7 linked regions of the Oryzias latipes genome follow. The protein of the gene in region 3 interacts with the protein of the main gene of each other region in a biochemical or structural test. Links are inferred from orthologs where the notes say so. Each region holds a gene or a part of one and is shown on either strand. Other genes may lie near its edges.

Region 1 (4,418 bases), on a different chromosome or scaffold from region 3:
TCCTGCACAAGGCAGATGTCACGTTCAAATCCGGGAAGCGACTCTCGTCTGCCGCCCCGCCCCCTCGCCACCCGCTCTTACCCCTTTATCCAGCAGGCTGTCAAACTCGTCGCTCATCCGTCGGAGCTGCTGACCGTACTTTTTGGCGGCCCACAGAGCCGGAGGGGCCGACTTGGATCTGCCCCTGAAGGCCAACCCATCAGTGGGGGTTCCGGCCTCGTCTTCCCGCGCGAGGTCCTCATCTCTGGAGTACGTGGAAGCGGTGGACTCTGAATTCAGCCTGGTACGCCCGTTACCTTTATGACAGGTAAGGACAAAATGTTAACGAACGTTGAAAAAGTACGGGTAACCTGGGAGACCTGAAGACAGAGGAAACACCCCTTCAAGGGTTCTGCTGTGTCTGAATTGCCACTTATGAGGGGAATCTACAATCCCAAAATGCATTGGGAGTTAGGCAGCAGTGAGGGAATTCGGCCTCATTTTCCCCTTTTTATGTTGCCTGTTAGTTTATAAAAAATGTAAAAAATAAAGTTTTGGTCAAATATAATGATGCTGCGCCATGAAACGTACGAGCTAAAAACATAAGGAAAATAACAATCAGACAAATAGTATCTGATGCCACGTTTGCCACGTCCCGTGAGGCTCCACTGATTCGTGCGCAAACACAGACAACCCGGTTCTGTTCCATTTTAAATCATTTCAAAAACTGTTAAATAGTGACTTTTTCTGCAGTTACTAGTCACTTTGTTGATTGTAGGCTACAGCTGCAGATGCTGACGGCTCCATCCTCAGAAGACTCCAACCAGAGGCCGTTGAACCCTTTAACGCCGCTGCTTTAGCTCTTTCGACGACCGTAATTCATTAAGCAGTCGCACAATTGACGTCACTTCAGCTGTTTCCGATGCATAGAAAAGCAGCCGTGCGAAACTTTACAGTAGTGAGCTGCTGATCGGTGCAAAGCTGCCTTTTTCTGCGTCAGAATCCGCAGTTTGAGCTGAATCGTGTGGACAGTCCAGAGAGTCTCACTGTCGACAGTTTCCATGCAGCAGCAGCTTCCAAAACAAAACAAGTCAAACTCTTTCTACTCAACTTGAGATTTAACGTTTTTGGGGTCGTGATCCCACTCTGTTACGCGGCTCATCTATCGCTGTCTCACTGTTTCGTGGATCTTTGTAGTGCAATTCAGTATGTGTATTGTTTTATACAGCACACTGCGTTCTGATTGGCTGTAGACCTTGTGGATCTCATTTGTGCCACAGTTACATCTTTGTTTTCATTCTATAATATTGGACTTATTTTCTACGAAGGCTTGAGATTTGAGAGTTAAAAAAAAGAGAGAAAAGTCTGGATATGAAAAGAATCAAACTTTATCGATATTTAGAATGTAACTCCATGATAAACAAGAAAACACTGTACTGACTGCACACAATCTCTGATTGTGTTCACATTTAGGTGAGACAGTGATTACCTTACCACTAGGAAAAGTTTTGTTCCCTTTTTGTTCTTCCAGCAGGTATTAGTTTCTCCTTCAGCGTCTATTTCTTTTTGTGTCATCTAAATGGCACTACAATTTAAACTGCATATTTATATTTCATAAATATAAAAAAAACAACAACAACGCTTTATTAAAGACAATGTTTATCCTTGAGAAAATTATCCATCCCCTATCAATGACAGCTTTTTCTATATGGGGTCCTAACAAAAACTGAAGTACAAGCCATTCACTGTATAGTGAGGAAATACCGTCCATCCAGCTCCAATGAAACAAAGTCAATGTCGTCGCCAAAATGTTGGCAATGCGTGGGACAATGTTAGTAAACTCTGATTGGTCTGAGTCAAAGTTTCTATGGAAACCACTCACCAATCAGGAGAGAGCTTGTTAAAGGTCTACAGCCCTATCATTTGGGAGAATCAGTCAGTGAAATGTTTGACATGAAACCACATGCTTTTATTGAGGCATCTGAAGGCTCAGATTATAACTGAAATAATTTGCACTATAGAAAAAAATATAATTATTAAAAAAAAGGATCATATAGAGTCAGCAATAGTTGATTATTTCGCAATAGAAGTCTATAAGACTTTGTCTTCTTGGAGCCAGCAGGGATTTCCTGTTTGGAACGTGAGGTGGGAGGGGTCGCTCAGTCCAGTTCTTGCATACAGTGACCCTATAAAACAGCTAACCGCTCCACCTCAGGATCCCAAAAAATCCGAATCCTGCTGCCTTAAGACTGGAATTTTCTCAAACAACTCTTAAAAGTGCTTCTCATTTCCCATAATGCTTTTGGTCTGCTTACTTGTGAGTCGAAGCTCTGGCAGGGTGAGGGAATGTCGATCATGAAGGTGCTCCCCTTCTCCTCCTGCTGCCGCTCCCAGGTCAAGTTTTCCTCCCTCTACCTCCTCGGATGACTCCGAATCGTCTGAGATGGTGAACTTTGCTGCCATCGTAACATCTGCAGAAAAAAAGGTGTTTTGAGGACACGTTGTTCCAATAATTCACTACCAGAGAAGCTTGATGATCATTTTAAACGAAGACCATCACAAATCAAATACTATTTTTCTTTCACATTTGAAGCCGAAATGAAATAGAAATTGAGCTAGGCCCAACTTTCCACTCCTAGAGTCATAAAATGTCTATTAGCTAAATGAATTATGTGTCTACCTGTAACACACCCAGCTGCCTATCAGTGGTTGAGTCCAAAGGTATTAAAAAAATAACAACTCCACGAGATAAGGACACAACTTTGACAGCACGCGCTTCGTTAAGATGTTATAACGTACTTTGTTTTTCGTAGTTCAACGCGCTCGCGAGCTGTGCTCTTCGTCGACACACTGCCTCGTTTGTTTTGTGTTGTTGTTGACCGAAGAGCAAGAGGACAAAAGAAACTTCATACAGGGCGGAAGCGGTCCCCTCCACCTTCCGCGCAGCTAAAGAGAACCTCCTGGAAGTAGTTTTTCTCACCCGAAATCTCTGCGGCGTCCGCTCCGGAGGTGGGAAAGAGTCTCCGAAGTTAGCTTCGAGCGGCAGAAACTGCTTGTTGTTAATGTTTTGGTGTTCTCTGCCCGCGGCACATTACACCCCTGCTCCGCTTTCGCCCAATCGCCGCGCGCCCCTGCACTTTCGCAGCGCGCTGACGTCACTGTTGCGAGCTAGGACTTGTTTGTCTGGTCTGGTTACCGTAATGACCAGAGAAGAAGCGCAGAACCAAAAAGCTCCTCATTTTCACCCCTCCCCCTTTTTTTCTGCCAAAACTCACGACGTCACAAGTTGAGTGCTGGCACTACTCGAGTCGCAGATTCTGTCTTCGGAGAGGAATAAAACAGGGGTGTACTGTCTCTGTATACCTGTTTCTTCTGGTTGCACACGTTTTCTGCAGATAAATAAAATTGAGAATATTGATGGGATTTCTATTGCTGGTAAAAACATTCTTGTAAGTCAACTGGCAGATGAATCATTATTCTTAAACTCCTCACAGGTTTCTTCAAGTTATAGAAACATTTTCAAAAGCATCAGGACCTATCTAAACCTAAAGAAATGTGAGTTATTTCCTCTTAAACAATGTGCTCTAACATCCATAAATAGTATAGTAGTCAAAGAAAAAGTCACATATTTGGGATTGCAGATAACTAAAGAACAAAAACAAAGAGAACTGAATAACTATAATCCTATGATTGCAAAAGCACAAAATAAGTTTAATCGCTGGCTACAAAAAGGTCACGTCCTCTTAGCAAAAGCAGAAGGAATTTCCAGACTAGTCTACATTGTTTCCTCACTATCTCTGGACAGTTGTTTCACTTTCGGCTTGTCCCATCAGGGGTCGCCACAGCGAATCAGCCACTTCACAGTGGAAGATTCGCATGGTAGTCTTGGCAATGTTTTACGCCGGATGCCCTTCCTGACGCAACCCTCTCAAAGCAACCGGGCTTGGGACAGGTACAGAAGTAGAGAAGGGAAGAGGGTAAAAATGCAAAAAGGATTGATCAGATACTTTTTAACTTCCTTTGGAGAAATAGAATCCACTATGTACGATAATCAGTAGTAATTAATTCATCAAAAGACGGAGGACTTGACTTTCTTAACTTTTCCATTCTAAGTAATGTCATCAAAATGAAATGGTTAAAAAAACTTCTTAAAAAGTGAAACCTCATTTTAGAATTTCATATAAAAATACATATTTGATAAGCTTGGAGGTCTGCCATTTATTTTATTATGTAATTTAATAATGGAAAAAAATCCTTTAAAACTGTCTAATTTTCATAAGCAGGTTTTATTGGCATAGACTTTGATCTACAAACATAATTTTTCTACTCAGCGCTACTATATTTGGAACAATGCAGATATTCTATACAAAAACAAGAGTATTTGTCTTGAAAATTAGTTTGAAAAGAACATTTCTCTTGTGACACAGCTGATTAATCCA
Region 2 (4,185 bases), on a different chromosome or scaffold from region 3:
AAATCAGAGGATCTTTTTTGAATATTTTTGTCTTGATACAAATAAGAATACGATGTTTCCTAAAGAAGTGATTGCAACAATTAGATTTCTTCCATGTTGGTTTTGGACACCAGCCGCTGCTCACATATTCAACATGTAACTATTAAAGCTGACTTCCTGATTATGTGATGCAAAGCTTTGCCAAAGTTCAGATATTTGAACTCTAGAAAAATTGTGCCGTGAGAGCACTGCGCTTCAAGCAGCACATGACTTCACATTATGTCTTTACGTTGACTTAACATTAAAACTGGGTCAATTGCATTCAGTGTGAACACAACATGACAAATTAAACAAGAACTTGTACCTTTGCTGCCTGTGATGACGGGCACATTGCGTGGACGTGAGCGGCAATCAAAGATGACCGGCTTCTGAACCCAGGGAATGAGAAAGTGAGTTCCTTCTCCAACCACAATGTCCTGCACTCCTCTGAACCGGTCAAATATTACAGCCCGGTGCCCTGCATCAACTACAAACAAACCAACAGTCAGTCATTTCAAACATGATTACATTTTAGCAGGAAGGGCTCCTTTTAGTTTTAGACAAAGAACTGCTATTAGAGGCCAATATATGGTCAGAATTATGCACTGGTAGATTATCAGTGCATATTATAAGTTTAATACACAATGTTGACAAAATTTAATTAACAGAATAATTATGACTAAACAAAGAACACATTTTTATAATGCAAAAACAAAATAGATGGATTTATTTCAAATAAGGACAATTCAATAATTGAAGGTGGTCATCCTGGCTAAAGAAAGTAAAACTTTTGTGATATTTAGATGGTCCTCAGTAACTCTGTGGTTCAAAGTCATCCTTTTGACCCAGTGGAGACCTCAGTGTTTTGTAAATAAAGCTGAATTTGTGACAATCAAAGATGTAAAATTGACTATGACATTAATTAGGACAAATATGTTATATCGGTTGCTGGAGTGAGCTTTTTCCACGTAAGGCTACTTTAAAGAATAAGCCCTTTAAAGCTTTCTTAGACTTTGCAGGCGTTTACTAGCACTTGTTTATACTGTTGTGATGCTCTATAATGGGTGTTAGTCATGACACTTTTTTACCTGCAGTGGGACTAAACATTTGTTTGCTTGATGTGTCATTGAATCCCTTAAACAAAGCCACATCTCCACTTTTCTAGCCCGACTTCCAGTTAGTCTTTGGATTGACCTAAAGATTGTATTTGTTTCTAAAGCTATTAAAGGGTTAGGTGGTTTAAGGTGCCAGCATCCAGCGATTACTTACTTTTAGTTCCTCTTAAATTTCAGCTTAAGATTAGCAGAGATTTAGCTTTCTTAGCAACAGTGTCAGAGATGCAGATTCAACCTTGGCTGCATTTAAGTCTGCATTAGAAAACTACTTTTTTACTAAAATAAGAATAAAAACATTAGATAAAACCAATTTAAGAATTTGTATAGTGTGAAAAAAAATTTGTTTCCTCTCCAGTGTAAAGAAACAAGCACTATCATATGTTTTTTTTTTTTAGTATTTTAAAGGTTTAATGATTTTTCTATAGTTTTCTGTTTATTGTAAATCTATAATTAAATATAACTAAAACAAAGATTAAGAAATTATTAATAAATGTAAAGGAATTAGTCATGGACCTTTCAAACAGAAACAATGGGCCTATGTGGACCTACTGCTTACAAAGCTTCTCATTAAGTTTTGTATTTTTCAAGTATTTTTTTAAAGATCATTAATGCAATACATTTATGTCCCCTTCACAGGTCAACAGTGCAGCATGGTGTTAATGCAACATCCTCCACCGGTGTCAGTCAAGTAAACAATAAACATTTTCCTTAATTATGTCATTTTAAATATGAGTTATTGTGGAGAGACTGCATAAAACCCATTGTGTTATTCTGGAGTTATTTTTTTACATGGGGCTACAAAGTTAACAATAACTTGTTTCTAGTGTCAATACCATATTGGCGGGATTTAATGGGTTTAAACAAGTAACCAGGGATTTCAAACTCCTAAAAACAAAAGACAACAAGCAAATTGAGAGCTATTTTACCAATATAGAGTGAACCAGAACCCTCTTTCTTTAAATGACTCGTTTTTTTCTTTTTTAGACTCACCATTATAAAGTGCAGAATTCACAACGCCTCCTCCAATGGCGAGAGCCAGACCCAACTTTCCAATGGACTCAAATAATTTAGCCATGGCAGAAACCTGGAAGCGATGAAAACGAGGTCATCACACACGTTAACAAGAAAACAACTTCAGTACAGACTAACACAAGTCATCCAAGCCTTAACTGTCAGTAGAAAGTGGGTGTTTTAATAGTTTCTATCCAGTAACGGTTGCGTATGTGGCCTTGAATGATGTCAAAGCGGCAGAGATGGTGGCTAGGGTTAGCTCAGAAGCTAACATGAGTTTCGCAGTGATCGGTTCAGCGTATGGTTGCAACAGATAAAATTGAGTTTGGCACGTTAATGTTTACATAAAAGTGCGGCAAAAAGGCTTTTATCAAACAATCTAGTGGTGCCTCAGTACGCAAGCTAGCTTACGTTGGGCATGCATGATGGATTTGAGCAGGGCTGTTCCGTCTACCAAACATGTTTATTTATAAAAGCTATGCTTGAAACAACTCCGTAGCACTGCCTAAAAATGTGCAAAGTAATGTTTAGGGAAAAATCTCAAAAGTTGTCCGAGGCTTAATCGTGCTGTATCACATAACTCACCTTAGCTTTCTTGGATGCCTGTGACCTCCACCGGACACGACGTAGAGCACAAGGGATGCCTGTTCTACGGCGCATGCGCAAGAATGTTGCAACAAAGCCGCTGATTGGACAAAAACATGTCAATCTTCTTCTACGAATCTTCAATGCTGGTAGACTGTTAGTGGAAACATACTGACAGCGTCACCTACTGGTATATTTAAACTTAACAGTACAACAATACTAGAGGGAACAATGGATGGATGGATGGATGGCAATAAATGTACTTCCTCAAATCCTTAAACATTTCAAGTTAGGAATGGAAGTATAATTAAGTTATACAGCATTAATAAGGGAAAATTAGTTAAAATAAATCTAAATATAGTTAACGTTCATTATCATTTATTGTCACATGATACTTGTGTCAAATAACATTTTAGCCAATTAAAAAAATTTAAACATTTAAGAAAATGCATGTACAGTTGTTCAGAAAAGCATCATATGAGCACACCCCATTAAGAACTGATACAGACTCAAGACTTTCTACATTTTGACACAAGTGTATTTCTTGTTTAAATTTTTCTCCAAAGCTTTAACTTTCAATATTTAAAATGTTTCAAAACCTTTTTAAAATCGTGAAACATTGTTTTAAAAGTTTGGTTGCCATACTGACTATTACAATATTGTTTGAGTAAAAGGAAGTTTTTTTATGTTTTATTACCAACACAAAAGTTTTAAGAAAGTGTAATAAGACAAAGTCCAGCAAAACAATATCATATTTATTTAAAAAATATATTGTTTATAGCCAGCCTATTGTAAAATTAAATAATAAATGAACTCACACATTTTCTTTTTTTTATCTCCCTGGGACGTTCATTGAAACGTCGAAGTCACTTGCACACACACACAAACAAACACACACACACACGTTCATATAGCCTTGTGTCGCCCCCTATCGGACAAAAACGGCACTGCACGTAATCAGTTTCACTTTCCTTACGGCGTAAGGCTTACGCTGTGAGGAAAAGAATGACCATCTTTAAATGTTAGCGAAAGAAGACTACCGATCGTGGAGCATTTGTAAGGTCGGTAACGAAAGCATCTCATTGAAATTCACGGTTCATTTCTTCACCTTTTTTTTTTTGGTCGCTGGTTTTGCGACAGACGACGATCGTTTTGATTTATTTACTTCCTTAACTCTCGACCCTGCAGCAGACAGTATGACTTCCTCTGTCGTTTTTCCTACACGATCGTGCAGTTTTGTATTAAAACTTTTACTGGAAAGTAGAAAAGGGTATATATCTAAACATTTGAAGAAAAAATAAATAAAATGAAATACATTTGGGGATTGGGCAGATTTGTAAACAACTTGATGTCAGTGTTTATGGATGTAAGAGTGGATATGTTTATCACTGCTGTTTTCTTATTTATATTAATGTACATAAAGTTATTTATATTCATAAGCTCCCTGACTATACTG
Region 3 (4,428 bases):
GACAGCAACATTTGCCTCTTATTAAGGCGGAAAACATTTTATTTAGATGTCAAAAATTGGAATTGAGGTCATCTCTAAATATAATCTCACTAGGTATGCCCTCACCAGATTAAACTAAGACTAGGGCCCTTTCAGAGGGGGCTGCAGCAGCCGTTAAAACAGTATTACAACAAAATTAAGGACATTTTGGCTAATGTAACACAAAATCTGAGACAAATGAACCAATTGCACAACGTGCAACGACAACAATTGAACTAAATATACGTTCAATGTTTGACCTGAAATATAGGAATGATGATAACAATCAGGATTTGTGTACCATTTAAAACCACACACATAATAAGCAGAGCTAAAAATAACTGGAGTCAGTGTTCACAGCTTGGGATGAACCATCACAACCGAACCCTCTGCTTTGTTTCTAGTGCACACTGTGGCCTTATGTTGTAAATATAGATACACACATACAGGTAGTGTTTTTCCCGGTTTACTTTCACCCTCCCTCCCAAAAAAAAAAACCCCTTTTCCAGTTACCTCTATTGTGTTTTACCCCAAAACGTGCAGTCTCCGAGGGCAATATTTACTGTAAAGTAGTACTGGCTAGCTGTCACGGGAGCCATGATTAATATGCAGAAAAGTTTTTTTTTTTAACTGTACTCTGCAGGACAAGAGCTTTTATCCATCCACAAGACAGTATTTAACTTTGGGGGTGAAATACAGTCCCCATATTTAATTTTATAGGCGGTTACGCCACTCAAACTCCAATGAAAACAATCAGCTCCAAACCCTGAGTTTGAAGTGTGGATAAAAACTTTATCAGCAGCGTAGCACTGTTTGATGACGTATGGGAACGTGTTAAGGTAGCAGAGCATTAACAAATAAAAGCTGAATTAAACGAAGACCGTGTCTAACATGGCAACTCTACCAGTGGGTAACGGTGATGTTATGTGAGGCCTTATAGTTCCTGTTACAACAGTTAGAGTCTGAAGGCCCTCAGAGGCGAACCGTTTCGCCAATAAGTGAAGTCCAAAGCTATCCTAGTACTCGGTTTCCCTTCGTTTCGAGAGTCCATTTTTGTGTCCGCGTGCGCTCCGTGGAAGTAAATTAACTCCTCGCGCGAGCTAGCAAACACAAGCAAGACATGCTGCAAGCTGCAGCCAGTACGTGCTCACCAAGAGAAGTTCAAAAACTTGGGCTCCGCCATAACTTCAGGAAAAAGTGGCGTCGGTGACATCATCAGGATTTTTTTTTTGCAACGCATTCAAAGAAAAGATGGAGAGAACGTCAGGACTGCTGAAACGGGGGGAGACGTGTATCCGCCGGTTCGGTTGTGTCGAATAATCCTCTGCGTCCGGAGAATGTTGCATTCATATAAAGGTCACAGGCGAGTCTCTTTCACGGAAAACTTTCCTTCTTCCTCGTCTCCCGGTGGTTAAATTGGAACAAAAATGTTGTTCGCATAAAAAGTCAGACTGTACTGAGATTTTTTTTAATTCACCTTTAAAGTCGAACCTCCATTAGTTTCTGCAAGTGCTCCATTATTTACATTGTTTAGATTTGAAGGCGTGCGTCCGCCCGACGCCACGGATTGAAACTAGACCTTGCAGTCAAAACAAGACCTGCAAGCATCGCTCACGCTGACTGCGCAGCTGGAGGACCAGCCGAAGTCCTCCCACTTCTTCGGCTTTATTCGTAAATAATTGAAAAGAAACAGTTTTGTCTGTAATACAGACCTGTGAAGTCATATTTTACACCGGATTTCGTCCATTCTTATCCCCCAGTAAGTGTTCGTTTAGGCTATTTTGCTTCAAAAGCGCATTTATGTTTACTTACGTTTGCAAATCTTTCAGAAAACGCAAAAAGCTAATGGACTTACACCGGAGGTCTTCATTGGTTTACGCTCATGGCTAATAAGTATTTCATTACATTTCCAAGCGCGCCACCTGGTGGCACAGACGGGTTATTGCAACCCTGAAATTTATCTGCTTCTTTGTAGTAAATCTGAGCCAAAACTGACATATTTGGTCTAAAAATATCAATAAACCACAATGTGAAGCCATGTAATATAAATAATCACAATACAAACTGGTATTTTAGCCAAGTAGAACAAAAGAACCACGTCATTACTTGTTCTACCTTTGTAAGATCTTTAACCATAATAATTTCTGGCAAGTAATGTCCATTTATTCTTAAAGCAGTATCATTCTGAAAACATACCAAACTTATCTCACCATGTGATCATCATCTCTGTGACGTCCTGGCCTGAAAGGATCCTCCGAGGTCCCCTTATCCCAGATGGCTCCAGTATCCTCCAAAGCAATGAAGGAGTTTTATCATCATACCAGGCAGTGTGTTGTGTCCTGAGCGCTGGATATCTCCATGAGCAGCTCTTTGCACAGTTTTACCAAGACAATAAAGCCACAAAGCTGTAGGTTTATTCTATACTTTCCCAATAAACACTTTTCATCTGTAACTATCCGTAACTTCACATTTCACCCATCTTCTCCGACAGCAGGCTTTTCTAACCCAATCTCAGAAGTAACTGAAACACAGAAATACTAAACAGTGTTCCAGTGAGGATGGGGCAGGGCTTTGTCATGGGGCTGGCTTTTAAGGTGCTCCAGCCCATATGCAGAACCACAACTCTGTTTTTAGTGACGCTGAATAAAATCCATCATTTTACACAATCCAGATCGATCCATTACAAGTTATTAGACATGATCAGATTTAATAGGATGCAAAAATGAGATATTAGACAAATCAAACGACGAAAGCTTTCCATCCAAATCCACCTTAAGACTGGTGAAAGCGTCTCTTCCACGTATTGATCTAGGAGAGCACTCAGGACAGTTAGCTGAGATGTTTTCAGCTCCTATGACATGTGTACCTTTCAATACTCAAAAATAAATAGAAGACTGATGAAATATTAAAGTTTATTGTTTTACAAACAAACAATGACATAAACTATAGGTTGAATTGACCCATTATTAGTTTAATTCCAGTAAACAGCTTAAGGATCTGTCTTTTTACTTTATTTCTTTAAATTTGGCTTATTTGGAATAAAGATAATTGTAATACAGCTGTTGTTTACAGTCTATTAAAATCGGAGTTATTCAGTTATTTACTTTCACATTTCTCATGTATTTTAATTTTTTTTAATGAAAAAGTGTTAAAATATTTTTTTTAATTCAGCCACTAAAAATCAAACCTCCATGCAATTTCCAAATTGCATGAATGTAGATCCAAAACCAGATTGGTTGACATTAAAAATGTGTTAATTACATAAAGAGTTTCCCCCTTAATTTTAACATGAATTTAGCTTGGCTTCAATTGTATTATGTTTCTCTTAAACTTTAAAGTGCTGCCATGTTTGGTGTTCTTCCTAGCATACGGGCGGTACTCGCACTTCCAGATGTTTTAGATGTCTGAAATGAAGCGAAGAGAAAACGACTAATTTAGCGGAGGAGGGAAAAATATGGACCGTCTCATCTCAACGATTAGCCTATTTGGAGGGGCGGTGTCCAGGCTTCTTGGTCTGTGATTGGTTACTTGGCGAGCACGTAGCCAATCAGAGGGCGAGTTTTTACTGGATACTGTGAATGACAATTCAGGAACTCCTGCCTGCACCGCATGCAGCGCAGAGGAGGAGGCGTAAACAGTGACATAGCTAGGTAGCCATAAAGGTAAGCAATAAAACGGCTTTGCGATATTATAACCGTTTGGTGTTAAAGGTCTTTTGCAACATTTGTATTTATGAATCAAAATGTCAACCAGCGTAGACGTTTGATTAATTTTGTTGTGAATACGGCTTACTGTCAATTTGTTTGCTCTCACTAACTCAGCATCGGCTTCGTAGTCCGGCCTGCTAACGTTAGCACATCACAACGACTTTGGTGAGTGCGCCCTGGCGGGAAATTTCGTTTATACGCAATATTGAATCTGATACTCCTGGAAAAACACTTAGCGCAAGGAACTATCGATAATAACCCCGGATCGGCATCCTTTTACTGGGCAGCGATGATTGATCGTCGACTGAACCGCGTTTCTTGGTCATGAGGTGGTTAGCTGAGCTCGCGTGCGCTAGCCAGCAACGGTCTCGCGAGTGCGCAGAAAAATCAACGTGACTAGGCCGACGCTCATGCTGCCTCAACCTCTGGCATTTCTGTTGCTGTGAGCGCCTAAACGCTTCAGAGCCACATGTTCTGTGTTGGGCAATTTACACACGAAACCCCCCACAAGGTATTTAAAACAGCATAAAGCGTTTCACTGTTTGCAAAACGCCCCATCAATTTGGTTGAGTTTGAAGGCATTAAATCAAAACACGATGCGGCGTGCTGGCCCCTGGACATAAAGTTACCCACGGCATGGCCATCCTCCGGCCTCTAATGGCGTTTGGCTTAAAATAAAACCAGCCAATATCTCAAGTTAGGA
Region 4 (4,331 bases), on a different chromosome or scaffold from region 3:
CAAAGGTCGTCAGTGAAGTGGTAAAACATCTGAAAACACCTTGTGGAAGAAGAGACCCAGGAGCCAAAGGCCATCATCGATCAAAAAGATCTAAGGATGGAACTCCTGGAGCGAACGGTGGATGACTTGGCGCCGTGTTCCAGAGCGGATGACCTTGCGATCACAGGGTCTCTTGGGTTGATTTCAAGCGTCATTTTTTTTCGCCTGCTCCTGATTCACAACAAGTTGAATAAAGAAATCCTCAGATTTGCAATTTAAGCTGAATTTCTTTTAAATATTTGTCCTCCATCATCAGAAAAATGCCCCAAGAAGAGGTTAAAGAAACACACCAGTTTCCCCAGAGTGGGTCTTTCCATTAAGCTCACTGTATAAAAGGATGGGCGATGGGAAGTGGGGGCTGGCTTACTCTGATTTTGGCTAAAAATGGCATCATCATTAAGGAATGCTGGGAAAATCGATCAGAAGATGATGGGAGCGGGACTTCAGAAATAAACGTCCAAACATTGGAGATCTGTCTTTTTGGCTTAAAATTTATTCATTTTTCTGCAGTCGTCGTGATTTTGATGAACATGTACAGTAGAAGTCAGTTGATGATGATGTGATTTGCCTAATTTGACTTTCTCCTTTTTTTATAACAAAAATACAACTCTGTAAATTCACAAACCTCTTCAAGTTGACGTGGTGGAAACATCTAAAGAGGGTTCACTTACTTCTGTGGATCAGGCTGGCGGCGACCGAGAGGAACAGCTGAAGGCCGATGGGAGGAAAACGCCACAGGACAGACGGAGGATTTGATCTACGGTAAACATCAAAGCACCACCGACGCTCCAGTCCATGTCTGAGTCTGAGACGCATCTTCACCTACGGCTGACCCTCATGATCTCAGCAAAGTCTCCTTTCGTTATGAAGCACATCACACCGAGAAATAAATAAAATCTGCTCCACATCTGAAGCCGTTGGTACACTTTGCTCACAGAGCAACAGATAGCACACAGTAAGGGAAGCAGCTTCAGTCTGCCAGAGCCAAGTTCTTGGACTGGGTCTTTGATAGGTGGTCTGATATACCCGCCTCCAGCCTGTCGCACTGGGCCAGGAAGTCCTGAGGCCACGAAAAACAGAAAAATAGGAGTCAATTTTTTTTAGCGTCGTCAGTAAAAGCAGAAAAAAAGAAACCTACTGGCTAACCTGCACGGTTTTTATGAGGCCCCTTTTCTTCACTCTGAAGTCGTTAAAATTCTCCGGGACAGACTTTAGAGGAAAGAGAGAGAGAGAGAGGAGTGTGTTAGAAATGACCAACACTCGAGGGATAAAAAGCTCAATCCAAAAAGAGATTACTATGGCGTCTATCTGCTCCAGAATCTTCATGAACTGCTCAGCAGCAACTTTAACTCTCTGGTCAAGTTTGCTCAAAGCCTCAGCTTGGAGGTCTTTGGCCAAGAAGCCCTGCAGAGCAAAGAAAAGAGGTGAAACCTCAAAGAAACGACCCATCTGACGATGCTTTTCTCCCTCCAGGATCTGTGGCTCACGTTCTTCAGTCCCGTCAACTCCCCGTCCACCTTCTCCAGCTTCTTGGCGGTCACTTCCACCGACTTCTCAATGTCTTTCAGCTTCTTCAGCTCAGCTTCTTCCTCCGGACTGTTCTGTTTGTACAGCGTTGTCAGTGGGATGTGCGCACGCCAACTCAATCAGGGGCGGCGCCCGAGCGTCTTACCCGTTTCCCGATCATCATGAGTTTGCAGCCGTCTTTGATCCCGTAGGTGGAAAGCCTCTCGTCCATCTCTTTCAGAGACTTCCCTGAAGAAAGAAGAATATGTTAGCAAAAAATTGCAGACGCACCAAGTCAAAGAAAATACAGAAATAAAGATTTGGTCTTCCTTATGTATAGTTTTTAGCAAATTAAAGAAACTGGTAACCACGACAACCGTTTTTGTCTGCATCACCACGACACTGCAACAACGCTCAGCTGGTTGATCACTTTAGATCTTCGTTTTCAGAAACTATCACAATGCCGCGACATGGAGTCAAGGCCTAATTATGGGATGCATTCAAAAAAAAAAAAAAAAAAGAATGTAGGTCAAACCCAAACCTTTGAAGATGAGTTTTTGAGAGGCGGGGGGAACGCCGGTGGCCTGACAGACAGCTTCTGATAAATCCTTCACTGCCGGCCCGTTGCCGTCATCTGGACTCGTTAGTTTGATGTTGTGTTTTACTGAACCTGATCAACAGACATTCATGCAGTTGTCATAACGTTGTGAACATAAATAAAACAGGTTTGTGTGAATTCATATCGCCAAACCTCAGTTGTGAAGCCAACAAAAATTAATCAATTACAATTTATTTCATTTAAAATCTGTAATGAAGTGAGACTTCTTGAAAGTTTATTATAATCAAACCCATTTGTAGAGTCTGATCCTCATTAGTCTTTTGATTTGAACCTTTTTTCTGCTATTTTTAGCATTTGATGACACGTTATATTTGTTATGAATCCACAATTAAAAATGAACATAATTCGAATTTTGAGCAGACAGGTAAAGCAGTTTGCTGAGACATTCAATGCCTAACAGTAAATAGTTCATTTCACATCATGATCAGCAGAAGTTTTTCCTAGAACCGGTTTTTGCGTTTGGGCTACACAACAACAAGCAAAGGATTTCTGAGCTACAGTCACATCTAAGACTCGGAGCCGCTTCAGTCTCCGTTTGTTTAAAATTCAAAACGTTTTCTTACCGTAGTTGACTATCAGGTTTATCGTTTGATCAGACATGTCTTTGTGTTTGTTCTTCAACCTCAACACAAGTCACCCGGCTATCTCCGCTAACAGCTAACTACTTCCGGTCAGCACCGGAAATGACGGACTGATTTTCCGCTGCATTTCAAAAGGTCCTTTTTATCCATATACATACGTATAAATATATAGAGACAGATTTAAAAAATAATGTCGAAGCGTGTTTTTCTGTTTGAATGTTTGATCCTTAAACTTTCCAACGCCGACAGTCAGTCACGAATGTTGAAAATTTTGCTTTCTATGCAGACCTTGACTCGACCAACCGGCTCTGTGGCGCAATGGATAGCGCATTGGACTTCTAGCTAAATCGATCAAAAGAGATTCAAAGGTTGTGGGTTCGAGTCCCACCAGAGTCGCACTTTTTTACTTTTACAGTTTATGCGCCTCAAATACTGCGTTAACTACAAACACGTGATGCATTGTGGGAAAAGGACAGCGCCCGTAAGTCGATATAAAGTTTCCAACTTTCATAACACACACCCTGAAGTTGCAAGTTCGAGCCCCGCTTGGAACGTGTGCGATTTTGGAGGTTTTATGTCGGCCTCGTGGCTTTCATGATCTCTTCTGCCATGTGTGAAATATGCATGCCTAATAGTATATGACATTTGTTACTAACGGAAATATACACTAAATTAAACTTTGGAGATTTTGCACATTAAAACATCATAATGGTCTATTTAATGTACTACAGCAGAATAACATAAAATAAATTATTTATGTGAAAAATACAGATGTATTGACAATATTAAAAAATCTGACTGTTGATTTAAAAGATGAACACACATAAATAACTTTTTAATTGTTAGATTAAAGGGGATTTACTTGTTATTTTACTACACGTTTCCATTAGCGGAAAAACACAGCTGGTTTACCTACAACGGAGGACATCTAGTATAAACCACCAAATGAAAAATACCTTTAGCACCTGCAACAGGTAACCCCATCAGCAAAAATGTGTGATTTGATTGGAAATCAATTCCAAGAATTAGCGAGCTTGAACTCTATCAACAAGCAGCTTTTGCAGAGTGGATGTCTAAATAAATCGTTGACAAGAGATTCAAAGATTGTAAGTTCGAGTCCCTCTAGACTCTAGAGACAAGGTATTTTGTTTTCTATATATGTATATGCCCTTACACGTCCAATTTAACTACAAAAATGAAATGCATTGTGGGAAACAATGTCCAGTCCATGTTCTTTTGGTTTAAAGAAACGGCGTGCGCTCAGTTTTTAACTCTATTTGCAAATAGTAACTCACTGTTTACTATAGTGGATGGAGATCTACTGCAGGAAATTACTACTTACTCTTTGTAAAAATAGTAAATATTTATTATACTAGACGTGCAACCCCTTGTGGCTACACAGTTTGACACTAGGATAGAGGGTCTAGCCCAAAGACCCACGCCGAACGAGGCTCATTGTAGTCTATGATTGCACCCCCCAGGACTGAAAACCGGTTTCTCCCGAGACTCTAAACCAACTGAGCCATCCAGCCTAATACCAACAAAAAAAACATCAAATGAACAAAATGAAAGCCGAGCTCTTGTTT
Region 5 (3,152 bases), on a different chromosome or scaffold from region 3:
TTAGCCACGCCCACATTTCTAATATAGTCATATCGTCTTGTATATTGCTTTGATTCGTGTACTCATTTTTCACAATAATCAGGGGGGGGGGAGTGAAAGCAATTAATGAACGCCACTTCTGCGACATCGCCACGCTAACGCTGCTAAAAATCTACCTTTAATTTCAATGGGTTGGTTCCCCCCCATGAGGCTTTGGGTTAGGAAGTAATGGATCCAAAAAGAGTTTAATTTGTAGGTAGGCCTAAATTTTTAATTTAAGATGGCAGCCTCTTCCAGGGGTCAAAGGTCAACAAAACGTGCTTATGGCATGTCACATCACTCAAACTAAAGTTCTCTTTTCCTATATAAATGCGAAAATCACCAAATTTCACACTTTACCACAAAGGGCTGCCAAGCCATAGGTCATGTGGCCATCCCATAATTTCAAAACTTGCTTTGGATATCCCTGCATTAGTGGTTTTTTAATATAATTTCTTTCGGCCCCATAAGACGTTTTGGCCACATTAATTCTTTTGTATGGTTTCTCTCGCTTTGATGTCCCTCTTTTTTATTTTTTTTACTTTGGGCCCCCAAAATGAACAAGGTGGGGGTCAGATTTTGGTGAGTTTTTTTGTCCAAAGGTGCAGTTAGAAAGATCTGGTTTTTGCCGTCCTGCAGGGCAGAATAATCTTCTTAAAGAGATAACGACTCAAAGAAAGTGGGTGTTTGGATTTATTGCAGGCGACTTTGATGAAGCGTTTTGCTTTACAGCTTTTTATATTGGACCTTCGTGGTGTTTCTACTTTCCGGCCAGCTGTTCGTACAGTTTGGGGACGTAGTCGTCCCACTCGGCCTGGTAGCAGGTTCCCGCCACCGGAGCGTCCAGGTTGTATTTCTGCCTGAAGGTCTGGATCTTGAACTTTCCTCGGCCGTCTCCGGAGCGGTTGGTGAGGACCTTCTCGGAGCAGGACAGGCTGCCGGGCTGCTCGTACACCAGCCACACGTACCTGTGCAGACCTGAGGAGGAAAGACAAAAAAAGAACCACCTCAGTGGAGGACGGCCTCCGATCTGCATGAATGCATCCACCTGCTGCGGTCCCACCTGTGCCTTTAGGGGGTCCAGAGCCCACGTAGTCTGACAGGACGCAGCCGGAGGACACGTCGTTGCCCTTCATGTTCACCACCAAGAAGTGATGCCACTCCCTGTTTTTTTTATATATATTTTAATGCAAAATTACGATTGTGGCCTTAAAAATATGTCAGTTTTAACGTGAAAAGTTCAAAAAGCTTCACCTAAATTTGGGGTCTTTCCTGCTGGGAGCATCCGGGTCGGTCAAAGCCAAAGTGTACAGTTTACTCGGGTCACATCCGTCCCACTCCACGCTGGTGGGTCTATTCTGCACCTAAACACGAGTTCAGAGGTCAGTGTCCGAGAGGGGGCGCTGTTTCACCGCTGCAGACCCGCTGCAAGCTGACTGTGACCCAGTTTGAGGTTTCCAGGCGTTCCCCCCCAAACTAGCGTTAGCTGCTAGCTCACGCACCTGCGTGGGAGTGAACACTTTCCCGAGCTCGTCGATCTCCAGAGAACCGTACTTCACCACCAGAGGCACCGCGGGCTTCTCCTCCACCTCCTGCAGGGCCAGAGCCCCGGACCACTGGCTCAGATCGATGGGCATTTCGCGGCGTTCCTCTCTGCGTCTGAGGCGCGCGCTGCACACAGGAGAAAGCCCTAAAAGTGATGCGTTCAAGTACCACACGGACAAACCAATTTAAGATACGAATGCACTTCATAACGTGTTCGACAAAACACGAAATAACCAACAGTATCTCCTAAGAAGATTGAATAAATTAATGTACACTTTTCTGGTGTGTGTGTTGGGGGGGGGGGGGGGGGGGGCTGCAAACACTGGCTTTTAATGTTTAAGTTGAACTGTATTATTTATTAAGACGACATGCACATTTCTGATACTTATCATCTAAAGATTGTATTTTTATAACATAAGAAATCAGTCACCGTTTTTAATACTCAAATATCTTAGATTTCTTAATTTAATTGTAGATTTTTACATACAATTCATGGCAGTGATGAGTTGTAATTTCCTAACACGGATTTTTCCTACATTTTCTGTGCATTTGAACGCAATACAATGTCAAATCCAACTGTGACCGCCAGAGGGCGCAGTCGAGTCACGGCAGCTTGATTCTTGATTTGCTTCAAGAATTGTCAATCAGTGTGCTGTTCCTCCTGGTGTCCTCCCCCAGGGTTTAAACACCACCCCCACTCCACGTGCTCCTTTCACTTTCTCTGATTTAGTTCCAAGTTGATTTCTTTAAAACGGATACAAAGCCGGTTTCTGCTGTGGTTACAGTTAGAATAAAAACTATTTATTACCAGGCTAATGTAATCCAGTCCTATTTGGAAGAAAATGAAATTAATTGACTATTTCTCAAACTGTTATTCTAAAAAAAAACAAAAAAGGTTAAACAACATCCACCTGCTCCATTCCAATTAGTGCTATATTATAAATAATCTCATTGCTGTGTAATAATTCAAGTTGGATGATTTAATTATTAATACGCCAGAATTTTGTCCCTCACAGACCCCTTACTTCTTCATTTAGAAGTCTTTCCATCTTCCACTATTAATGTCACCTGTTTGAAATGGTTACCTGTATAAAAGACACCTGTCCACACCTTTAAACAGTCCACTGTGACCAATATGCCAAAGAGCTGTCAAAGGATACCGGGAACTAGATTGGACAACTGAAAGACTGAAAAGACTAGGATGAACTAATGAGCGAGCAGCTTGGTGAGAAGAGATCAACTGTTGGAGCAAAATGAAATACAAAAACACTGAGGATGTCCCTTCACCGGGAGCTCCATGAAAGATCTCACCTGGTGGAGTCTAAAAGATCATGAAAACGGTGAGGAAACGGACTGTCATCTCCAGACCTGCTCCTCATGAGCCACCGCCCCGCTTGTTTTGCCCCAAACCGCGATTCAGTAATTCCCGATTAACGGGATTAAGTGAGCCCAATTTCTGATTGGCCGAACACACCGGATCCAAGTAATTACTGATGCAGGGCTAACTGCAAAACAATCAGGGCAGGGTTGGAGACCACTGGACTAGAACAACGGGGGGGAACTGGTCAATGACCTGAAAAGAGCTGGAA
Region 6 (4,360 bases), on a different chromosome or scaffold from region 3:
AGAAACCTCATTTACCAGCTGTTCTATAAAGCTCATCAATCAAGCAGTTTGAATGATTATTTGAGCACAAGTCAATGTTTTTGTTGTCCTGAATAATGTAAAAGACCCGGAGGAAAGAAAAAAAAAAAATCAAAACATTGGAACTTAACGGTGAATGTTGTACAAATGTCACATAAAATATCTGTTGCAAAAAAATGTGACAATGTTAGACTTAAGCTTGCAACTATGCACCAATACCAACAAAGCATAACAAATGAAGGAAAAACATTCAGCTCAGGCGATGCAGAAACACAGTTTGTTTTTGTTGTTTCAAATATGTGACTTATTACACATTTATAATTCAAATTTGTACTCAAAAAGTTTAAAGAAATGATGGTGTTTATTGGCAAGCTGTTTTACATTAAATGAGACTGGGGTACAGTAAGTGAATACAATTGCAAACAACAAATCCATTGTGATCACTCCTTTGTTTCTTCCGGCTCCCGTTTCACCTCTTCATAGGTCCCTTCTTCCTCCTTTCCTTCCCCAGAGTTGGGGACCCACAGACCTGAGTCAATGCAACGCTTCATATGATGTTTTGCCTCCTAAAAGACACGACAGTCACATGTTAACAGGGATTTCTTAAAAAAAAAAAAAGCACCTAAATCCAAAAAGATTCAACCAGACAAAACTGTATAGCTTACAGTTGGATCCATTTTACTGATGACTTCTTGTAACATTTGGATGTCCTTCTCATCAAAGCATTTCTGCATTTCCTGTGGTTGAAGGCAAACTATGTGAGCATTTCAAACTCAATAGAGACAAAAAATGAAACCCTGCTTGTTAGAATGCACTTACAGCAGGCAGCGACTCATACACTTCAACTGGATCCAGGCCTCCAGGCCCCAACCGCTTCTGCCGCTCCTCTTCCTCGTATTCTTTCAGGGCCTTTTCTATGCGAATCTTTGCTCTTCCTCTCACCCGTTCTTTAAACGCCTCAAGCTCGTCGTTAAAAGCATCTTGGTATTGCTGATCTGCGGTCTGTAAGAAAACAAATGAACAAATGTGAACATTCCAAACCAGAAGTATAAAATTTTACAGAAACTTCTGGTAAAAAAAAAAGGACTTTTAAAATAATCTGTTTTAGTCCAGGAATAACAGACAGACTGCCTTTGATTTTTGTACTGCTTGTTTATGAAAGCACCCTTTCTTTTCCTGCCCAAACATCTTCTTTAAAATGAATAAGTTCAGAGCAATTAAACACAATAAAATTAAATAAACTTGCTTACTTTAATCTTTGCAAAAAACTGACGGAAGCAACCGCGGGGATCCACTTTGAGGCTTTTTGCCAACTCAAGAATGAACTGCATGACAATGGTCTGATGGGCCACCTGCTCCATCAGTGCGTGTTTCTGCAAATAGGAAAGCAAAGCTTTACTAAGAAATGAAAAACCTAAACAGCTGCAAACAGGAGCACACACTTTGAGGAGAAGATATGCTAAAAAACAAAGATACAAGAATATAAAATAAAAATATAAGTATATGTGTTTACCTCCTCAACTTCCAGATCAATGCACATGATGACGAGATAGTTAGCGGTTTCTTCACATACAAGATGAGGATTGTCAGAGAGATACTTTTGGCTGTCGTCCCATCGTCGCAACATCCCTGTAAGTTAATAAAAATAGACTTAAATTGTTTTTAAAGAAGGGAAAAGACAACAGAATGACCTTATGGAAGTTACTCAGGCTTACCGAAATGTTTAATCTGCTTCTCGTGTTTTTCAACAAATGTTTTGTGTTTTTTCTCCTTTTCTTCTTCCGTATCTTCCGAAGTTTCAGGTTTTATGTTCACTATGCTCTATAAGCGAGAACAAAGATCAAGATTTGACACCATCTAGCATTGATTTGAAATAACTACTTTGTTTATAAAATGTCAACGGACTAATGTGAGCTTCATTGGATTTTCCAACCTCTTGCTAGAAAACCACAGGTTTCTATCTGCATATAGAAGTCACCTTGCTGAACCCTTCCTTGCTGAGTGTGTCCACGTTCCACGGCATCTTCTTCTCCTCCCTGTAGTACTCATCCAGCTTTTTCTCCCAGTCCCGCTCCTCTTTTTTCAGCTTCTTCTCATCGGCTTGGTATTTGGTGAGCTCTGTTTTGACACCATCGGAAAGGTTCAGGTCCTGGATCTTTGTCTGTAACTCCGTGAGTTTACGCCGACATTCGGCGAGTCCTTTTTTTAGGTCTTCGCCTTTCTTCTGGAATTCTTCCATTCGCTCCACGCGCGCCTAAGGAACAGATCACACGCGTGAACATCATGTGTAAACAATTTCAAATACTCATCAGCTCTTGTCCAGTTTGAGTTCAAATTCAGGAATCCGAAGTAAGTAGGAAAATTAGCATGGCTGAAGAATTACAAGCAGAAAGTGAAAGCTAACGATCACGCTAAGCACTTTTCCGAAAAGCTTTTATATTTACCTGGTGTCTCCATCTGAAGAGACTGGGAGTGTCAATATTTGGGTGGGTATCATCTTCATCATCCGATACCTCAATGTGATCCCACACGCTGTAATCTATCCTGGACATCCTGCAGCAAGAAGAAGCAGCGCTAGCTTCGACTAGAACTCGGTTAAGTTGGCGTCTAAATCACGCTCGCTAAAATACCGACCTAAGAAATATTCACACTCGAACCCTTCAGAAATGTGTGTTGGTGCTCTGTGTTTCTGTACTCCAAATTTGGTCGTGCGAATTGATTTGTTACTCCCAAGCAAGAGCTAACGGGAAGCTGCTACAGAGTTCTAGAAGAAATTCTCCCCAAAGCTTCCGTTTACGTCATACGTAAGGCGCGTACATTGTACGTCGTAATTTAGACACCGGAAACAATGACCAAAAACGGAAAATATTTGGTTTTCATAGTTTTAATCTGAAAGACTGTGATGCTTTCTTTTGTATAAACATGTTGTTATTTATGGCTAAATTTGATATTCATAAAAGCAAATTCTCCTATAAAAAACTGATTTATTTGTGTTAAAACTGGAACTGCAGCAATATTTAAACTTAATTTCAGCTTCAAAAAACACAAAAGCTCAAAAAACAATTAACATTTGTAAATCTTTTGGAATAATAACACAAGTTTACTCTCGCATTTTCTCTTTTTATTTTATCATTTTTTTTCTATGTTTAGTTCTATTTTCTTTATTTATTTTAATTTTTTATTCCCTTTTGTGATTGTTAGAAATAATTAGAATCTTCTTAAGCATGTAACACGTTTATTCTGTATTCAGAATTGTAATGTACATTATCTGTGCATAATTGTTGCATTTCTTTGTTCTGTATGTTGCAATTGTTCAATAAAAATTAAAGAAAAGGGAAATTATATTTAAATATAAAAAAGAAAGAAAAGCACCATGACCCGAATGATTACATTTTTCAAGGCGAATTAAGAATAAATTAGAATGCTGATCTGAACACATATTAGAAGATTATTATTTTTACATATAAGATTTAGAAAATGTACCTACGTAATATGGTAAACTAAGAGTATGATATTCATTTGCTTACTGCTATTTTTCGTTCTTGATATAAATGGCCAGATATGATTTTTATATAGTTATGTTTCAGATATAGATGTGTGCTCCAGACTGATAGATGATAATTTAGTTTGTCCGTTCCCAAGAAGGAAAAGTTCAAGTTCTAAGAAAGGAAAACAAGATCAGTTTGTGAATGTTTTCCTTTTTTCTTCATCGCCGGTGTTGCGATCATAACCTGTGACAACACGTTTGAATAAAATAGCTAGAAAATGTTCAATCTAACAGAGAAAAGAAGATGAACTAGACAATTTTATATACTTTTTATTTCCATTGAATGCAAGTCATCAGCAGGTGGTGTCAGCTATTTTTGCTCGGTTTGAAGTTTGTCAGTTTGGAGTCTTTGAAACCTGAGCAGCAGACGGAGTTTCCAGTTTGCGCTGCACAGCACCGCTGCATCTCTCGGATCACATCCTCGCATTTACTTTCCACATACTTGTTAGCTGTGAGATGAGAACAAAAAGTTCACAAATTTGTTTGAGATTTGCATTAGAAGAGCACAACAACAACGTCAATGTGTACCTTGTAAACACGTTTGAATGGCACATGCTTGCTTTTGACACGGATCTTTCTGTGGCATATCTAAAGGAAAACATGTGAGAATGAAAACAATGATATGAATAAAACATGGGCAGAATCTTAAACTTTACTTATTGGATAAAGATTGGGGGCATGGTTTTAAAGTTAGACATACCAGTAATATTTGATACGCAGATCGACCTACTACTGCTGGGAACCCAACCACTTCCGTTTTCAAGGGATTGTTTTGATCACGTGTCATGCTGTTAG
Region 7 (4,417 bases), on a different chromosome or scaffold from region 3:
AAGGGAGTAAAAAACAAACTAGAGATTTAAAAATCTATGTTGCAGCGATGCAAACCCTCTGAGAGGGAAAAATGTCCTCCACAATATTCCACTTCTAAATGATGTGAAAAAGCCAATTCACAGCAACGTGAAGTTTCCATTAGAACAGATATAAATCCAGATCTTAACCAAAACAGCAAACAATAGGATTCACTTTAGACAGAGATCATCTGCCCATTTTTTAACACTTGACACGGCACAGAGACAAACAAGACCAATGTAAGAATTGTATGTTTGCAGGCGTGTGTAACAGCGTAGTGAGACAATAAACATGTAATTCTGCTCTTAATCACTACAAAAGTTATCTGTGCTGAATCCAAACCCAAAACTGCAGCAAGACAAATAAATCACAATATGATCAAAACCCAAGCACGCACGCACACACACACACACACACAAACATACATTTATACACACAAATTAAATGGTAAACGGCATATAATTGATTGAAATATGTCGAGCATTGATTTATTGTAACGTTGAAGATAATTAATCTAAATAATAGAATGTGTCAGAATATTAGCTTTTATCATCAAAATAATAGAAAAAGATGTTTACAACCTAAATGTTCAAATGCCTTCATTTCTATCACTTAGCTTGGTTAGGGCTCCTCTATGTGAATCACTGCATCAATGCACTGAGGATATGAAGCGTGTGGCTCTATGTAGAAGTAATGGAGGTTTCTATGTGCTGCCTTCACATTATCTGCATTATTGAGTCTGGTGTCTCATCTTCCTCCAAACAAGAGACAATAGATTCATAATAGGGTTCAGGTCAGGGGAATGTGCTATCAGCCACAGTAATACTATTAATTGAACCAGCTTTTGGTTCTTTTGGCAGAGTGGGCGGGCCCCATGTCCTGCAGGAAAATTGAATCTGCAGCTCCAATGAGCTCAACACCAAAAGGCAGCATGAAGTGCTACAGAACTTTGTGTAGACTTCAAAAAAACATGGACCTACATCATCCCTGACTGTGGAAGCTTCACAAGACCCTTCAGGCAACATCGGGTCTGTGCGTCTCCAAATGAAATACAACCTTTACTTTTGGACCACTAAGCATCTGTCTGGTTCTTTTCTAATGAGCCCAGGTAAAAAACAAAAAACAAAAAAAAACGTCTAACTCTGATGATGGTGAAATAAATCAGAATTTTGCATGGATTTTCTCTGTTGAAAGTCTTTTTTCTTTCCACTCTATTTTCTGTTAATATGCTTGGACAGATTAACTACCATGATTGCATATGGACTTACATTTGTCTGATACATTTGAAGGTTCAGGAAACCTTTGCAAAAATAATCCGTTACAGTTTTTGATACTTTTTATTTTGTCATTTTCTTCTTAATGTACCTAAAGTTGATGAAATGCTCTGGTTTTAAGGTAAATGCATTGATTTGTAACTGCTGGTGCCTTTAAGAACATGTGCAAGTTTGATTTTCTCATCCCCACAGAAAATTCTTTTTTGTTAGAATCCCACAATAAAAGCACAAGTGAACTGATCCATCTTCAACACCTAAAGGTTGTGATCCTTTGTTCTGGTGTTATGATTAAGAAAACCCGACACGAACGGCTAGGAGAGAAAAATCAAACTAGTTTCTGACCTTTTTGCAAATTGCCGATTGCCTCATCGTAGTTCTCCAGCTCCAGGTGACACTGGCCCAGGAAGAAGTGGGCTTTAACAGACTGACTATCCAGCTCCAGTGCATGCTTACAATCTGTCAGAGCCTTGTCATACTGCTGCAGCTTCACGTGGCAGAGGGCCCTGTTGGTGTAGTATACTGCCACTGATGGATTGCGGTTCTGGAAGACACAATGGGGAAAATAAAGAGTATTTACGCGCAAACTGTTTAGTCTTCGCCATTAGTGTTTGGATGAGAAATCCCAGACGCTTACAATAGCTTTACTATAGCAAGAGGCAGCATCCTGGTACTTGCGGCAGAGGAAAAGCCGGTTCCCCTGCTCCTTGAACTCCTGCGCGGTGGAACTCTTCTCCGGGCTGCCGGCCATCTTCTCCACCGGCTCCGCGGGGCCCGCTTCGCCCTGTTTCCCTATCCTGTTCCCCGTCTCTTCGGCTGGCTAGACAACAGGTTTTCAGAACGTCCCGTCCGGCTTGGATCTCACACACTAAAACACAGGCGCGTGCTGAGTTAGCGATGCACCTGCAATGCGCTGCTTCTTCAACGATCTCTCGGCGCAACGCTGCTGCTTGGTGCCGCTCAGAATGCATTCATTCGGGTTTGCTGACAGTGCACGCCGCTGAAAATCACAGCTAGACTGCCGGCGAATTAACTATTCACATTCGGAAATCGATGGCCATCAGCGAGCACAGCTATTTAAAAAAAATCCAGAACCATTAATTTACACATCCACTCAGGTTTCGAGTAAAAACACCAGATACAAGATAATATATTTAAGTTAACGAAAAATTGTATATTATTGTTACACGACAAGAAACACAAAAATAAGATTGCTAACTTACAAACAAACAGAGGAGGAGAATCGATGCTATGCTAAAATTAGCTAAGCTTTTATCTTGAAATTATTTTGTTTGGGGACATAGTACAGCTTTTGTGTCTCTAATCAATTTTATTGACATTTAATTTAGGGTAGATTCTGGTGAATTGAAGCAGAGGATAGTAAAACCATAACTACTTGTTCAAGGATTTCAATATTTACCACAACGCAGCTCGGTTTCTTCAAAAAACATAAACTAGCTAGTGCTAGCTTAGCCTTTTTGCATTACAGTTGCTTCACGTCCGTTTCAGTTTGTTGGAGGCTTAAATAAAGTTTTACATAGTACCCACCCTTACCTTTAATCAGAAATTTTACATTCAGCTCAAACAGATTTAATTTAGTTTGATATAAAATCGTTACGGATTATTTTTACCACCCGTACGAACTGTCAAGACGGAATGTTGTGGTGCTGACGTCAAACGCTTTACGCTCTAACAACGGAAGCCGAGAGCACACGAATCCTGATGGGAGTTTGCGCAGAGGTTATCTTCAAGTATCATAACAATGTAAAGTTTCTGTGCTCATTTCTGTAAAAGTACTGTGGGAACAAACCCTCATCTGTATTGGGACTGCTCTCATAATTTGGCTTTATAGAATGCCAGCCCTTTATCTTTAATCCTAAATTAATCATAGAGGGTCATTGGAGCTGTGAGAAGAGCATGCAAACAACGTGAAACAGGGGCCTTCTATATGTGAGAAGACCCTGGTATCAGTGCTAGTGGTTAGAACTAACATAGCTGACTACTGATACAAGTAACCACACCTTATCTCTGAGTGATGGTTAGTTGTATAGAAAATAGGTACTGACCTTACATTACGTTAGACAAAATACTATAACAACACCCTATCAAATAAAAGTGTTTGTTTATATCTGATTCGAAATTATTAGTAAAATAATTGATATTAATGGAAATAATTTATTATTATTATTTTGTCTTCCTTAAACTTCTGTTATTGCACTAATCCAAAAGCATTGAAGATGATAAATCTGTTCTATTTGATTTGGTGCTTTTTATGTCTTTACTCATTTTTCACTTTTTATATTAGCTTGATGCCAAATTTTAACATGAGACTTTGCTTATGTTAAGAGAAGCATAAAAATTCATTTTTTTTCTGTATCGCTTTGTCCCTTTCGGGGTCACGGGGCTGCCGGAGCCTATCTCGGCTACTTTGGCGTAGGCAGGGGATGCCCTGGACAGGTCGCCAGTCTGTCCAGGGCAGACTGCGTTTTTTATGCTTTTATGCTGCTGTAAGCATAAAAATGTAATTGAAAAAAAAAAACGTATATATTTTTTAACATTCAGAAAAGTATTTTTTTCTCAAATATGGTTTGAAAATGAAATGAAGCCACACCTAAATATTTCCTGTTATTTTTATGCATCTTTACAATCACTCATTTAAATCTGAATAAGCAAAAATATGAGAGCAAGAAATGGAAAGATGGGTTTACCTGAGGTTGTTTGAGACGTTTATACAAATCTGAAATGTGTAAAGAGGAGTTATTTTAAAAAATATGATCAGAAATATTTGCATTTTTTGCAGTTGAACTACCAATTTTACACACCAAGATACAGAAAAAGACAACTGGGTGGTTTCTCATTGCACTTGTAAAAGATCAGCACAGGAAATCTAGTGTATTGGCCAGAAGATGGCATCATCGGGCTACTCGTTTTTTTAAATGTGAGTCAAATCTTTAATGTAATCTGTTATTAAGTAGTTTAGTACAATATTATGAATTACCATTGCATCACTGTGTTATGTAGTGACTCTAATAAAGATATGTGCCAAATAAAGATGTGTGCCAAAATAAATTTGATGATACATTTATACTTATTCTGGATTCAGTTGACAAATGTAAACATTTTTAAA

What was found.
Region 1: of the proteins of raf1 (region 3) and bad, one has a biochemical effect on the other in vitro, tested with the Homo sapiens proteins (2 studies listed by BioGRID). The link is inferred for Oryzias latipes from reciprocal best matches to the Homo sapiens genes RAF1 and BAD.
Region 2: the proteins of raf1 (region 3) and phb form a complex in vitro, tested with the Homo sapiens proteins (2 studies listed by BioGRID). The link is inferred for Oryzias latipes from reciprocal best matches to the Homo sapiens genes RAF1 and PHB1.
Region 4: the proteins of raf1 (region 3) and bag1 form a complex in vitro, tested with the Homo sapiens proteins (2 studies listed by BioGRID). The link is inferred for Oryzias latipes from reciprocal best matches to the Homo sapiens genes RAF1 and BAG1.
Region 5: the proteins of raf1 (region 3) and pebp1 form a complex in vitro, tested with the Homo sapiens proteins (3 studies listed by BioGRID and IntAct, with this or other methods). The link is inferred for Oryzias latipes from reciprocal best matches to the Homo sapiens genes RAF1 and PEBP1.
Region 6: the proteins of raf1 (region 3) and cdc37 form a complex in vitro, tested with the Homo sapiens proteins (2 studies listed by BioGRID, with this or other methods). The link is inferred for Oryzias latipes from reciprocal best matches to the Homo sapiens genes RAF1 and CDC37.
Region 7: of the proteins of raf1 (region 3) and stub1, one has a biochemical effect on the other in vitro, tested with the Homo sapiens proteins (4 studies listed by BioGRID, with this or other methods). The link is inferred for Oryzias latipes from reciprocal best matches to the Homo sapiens genes RAF1 and STUB1.

The regions. Positions count from the first base shown.
Region 1 is NC_019876.2:12,866,408-12,870,825, reverse strand, and holds the start of bad (bcl2-associated agonist of cell death), read right to left. Parts: upstream 2,954-4,418; 5' UTR 2,779-2,953; intron 2,451-2,778; 5' UTR 2,443-2,450; coding exon 2,295-2,442; intron 297-2,294; coding exon 82-296; intron 3-81; coding exon 1-2. UniProt on the Homo sapiens protein: Promotes cell death. Successfully competes for the binding to Bcl-X(L), Bcl-2 and Bcl-W, thereby affecting the level of heterodimerization of these proteins with BAX. Can reverse the death repressor activity of Bcl-X(L), but not that of Bcl-2.
Region 2 is NC_019866.2:5,517,517-5,521,701, forward strand, and holds the start of phb (prohibitin), read right to left. Parts: upstream 2,844-4,185; 5' UTR 2,805-2,843; coding exon 2,730-2,804; intron 2,218-2,729; coding exon 2,124-2,217; intron 506-2,123; coding exon 344-505; intron 1-343. Other genes in the region: uncharacterized protein LOC105354523, read left to right, coding at 3,749-3,790.
Region 3 is NC_019865.2:17,676,053-17,680,480, reverse strand, and holds the start of raf1 (RAF proto-oncogene serine/threonine-protein kinase), read right to left. Parts: upstream 2,848-4,428; 5' UTR 2,215-2,847; intron 1,914-2,214; exon of another isoform or gene 1,831-1,913; intron 1,756-1,830; exon of another isoform or gene 1,731-1,755; intron 1,687-1,730; exon of another isoform or gene 1,170-1,686; intron 1-1,169. UniProt on the Homo sapiens protein: Serine/threonine-protein kinase that acts as a regulatory link between the membrane-associated Ras GTPases and the MAPK/ERK cascade, and this critical regulatory link functions as a switch determining cell fate decisions including proliferation, differentiation, apoptosis, survival and oncogenic transformation.
Region 4 is NC_019875.2:29,408,038-29,412,368, reverse strand, and holds bag1 (BAG family molecular chaperone regulator 1), read right to left. Parts: upstream 2,859-4,331; 5' UTR 2,765-2,858; coding exon 2,728-2,764; intron 2,216-2,727; coding exon 2,087-2,215; intron 1,795-2,086; coding exon 1,712-1,794; intron 1,641-1,711; coding exon 1,527-1,640; intron 1,444-1,526; coding exon 1,336-1,443; intron 1,249-1,335; coding exon 1,186-1,248; intron 1,100-1,185; coding exon 1,010-1,099; 3' UTR 511-1,009; downstream 1-510. UniProt on the Homo sapiens protein: Co-chaperone for HSP70 and HSC70 chaperone proteins. Acts as a nucleotide-exchange factor (NEF) promoting the release of ADP from the HSP70 and HSC70 proteins thereby triggering client/substrate protein release.
Region 5 is NC_019867.2:3,465,827-3,468,978, reverse strand, and holds pebp1 (phosphatidylethanolamine-binding protein 1), read right to left. Parts: upstream 1,730-3,152; 5' UTR 1,656-1,729; coding exon 1,521-1,655; intron 1,383-1,520; coding exon 1,273-1,382; intron 1,183-1,272; coding exon 1,082-1,182; intron 997-1,081; coding exon 779-996; 3' UTR 694-778; downstream 1-693.
Region 6 is NC_019866.2:8,383,055-8,387,414, forward strand, and holds the start of cdc37 (hsp90 co-chaperone Cdc37), read right to left. Parts: upstream 2,812-4,360; 5' UTR 2,653-2,811; intron 2,572-2,652; 5' UTR 2,571-2,571; coding exon 2,463-2,570; intron 2,273-2,462; coding exon 1,997-2,272; intron 1,840-1,996; coding exon 1,734-1,839; intron 1,648-1,733; coding exon 1,532-1,647; intron 1,392-1,531; coding exon 1,269-1,391; intron 1,021-1,268; coding exon 838-1,020; intron 756-837; coding exon 684-755; intron 585-683; coding exon 459-584; 3' UTR 1-458. Other genes in the region: cmc4 (cx9C motif-containing protein 4), read right to left, coding at 3,872-4,014, 4,094-4,151. UniProt on the Homo sapiens protein: Co-chaperone that binds to numerous kinases and promotes their interaction with the Hsp90 complex, resulting in stabilization and promotion of their activity. Inhibits HSP90AA1 ATPase activity.
Region 7 is NC_019877.2:8,954,381-8,958,797, forward strand, and holds the start of stub1 (E3 ubiquitin-protein ligase CHIP), read right to left. Parts: upstream 2,982-4,417; 5' UTR 2,711-2,981; intron 2,159-2,710; 5' UTR 2,042-2,158; coding exon 1,928-2,041; intron 1,835-1,927; coding exon 1,636-1,834; intron 1-1,635. UniProt on the Homo sapiens protein: E3 ubiquitin-protein ligase which targets misfolded chaperone substrates towards proteasomal degradation.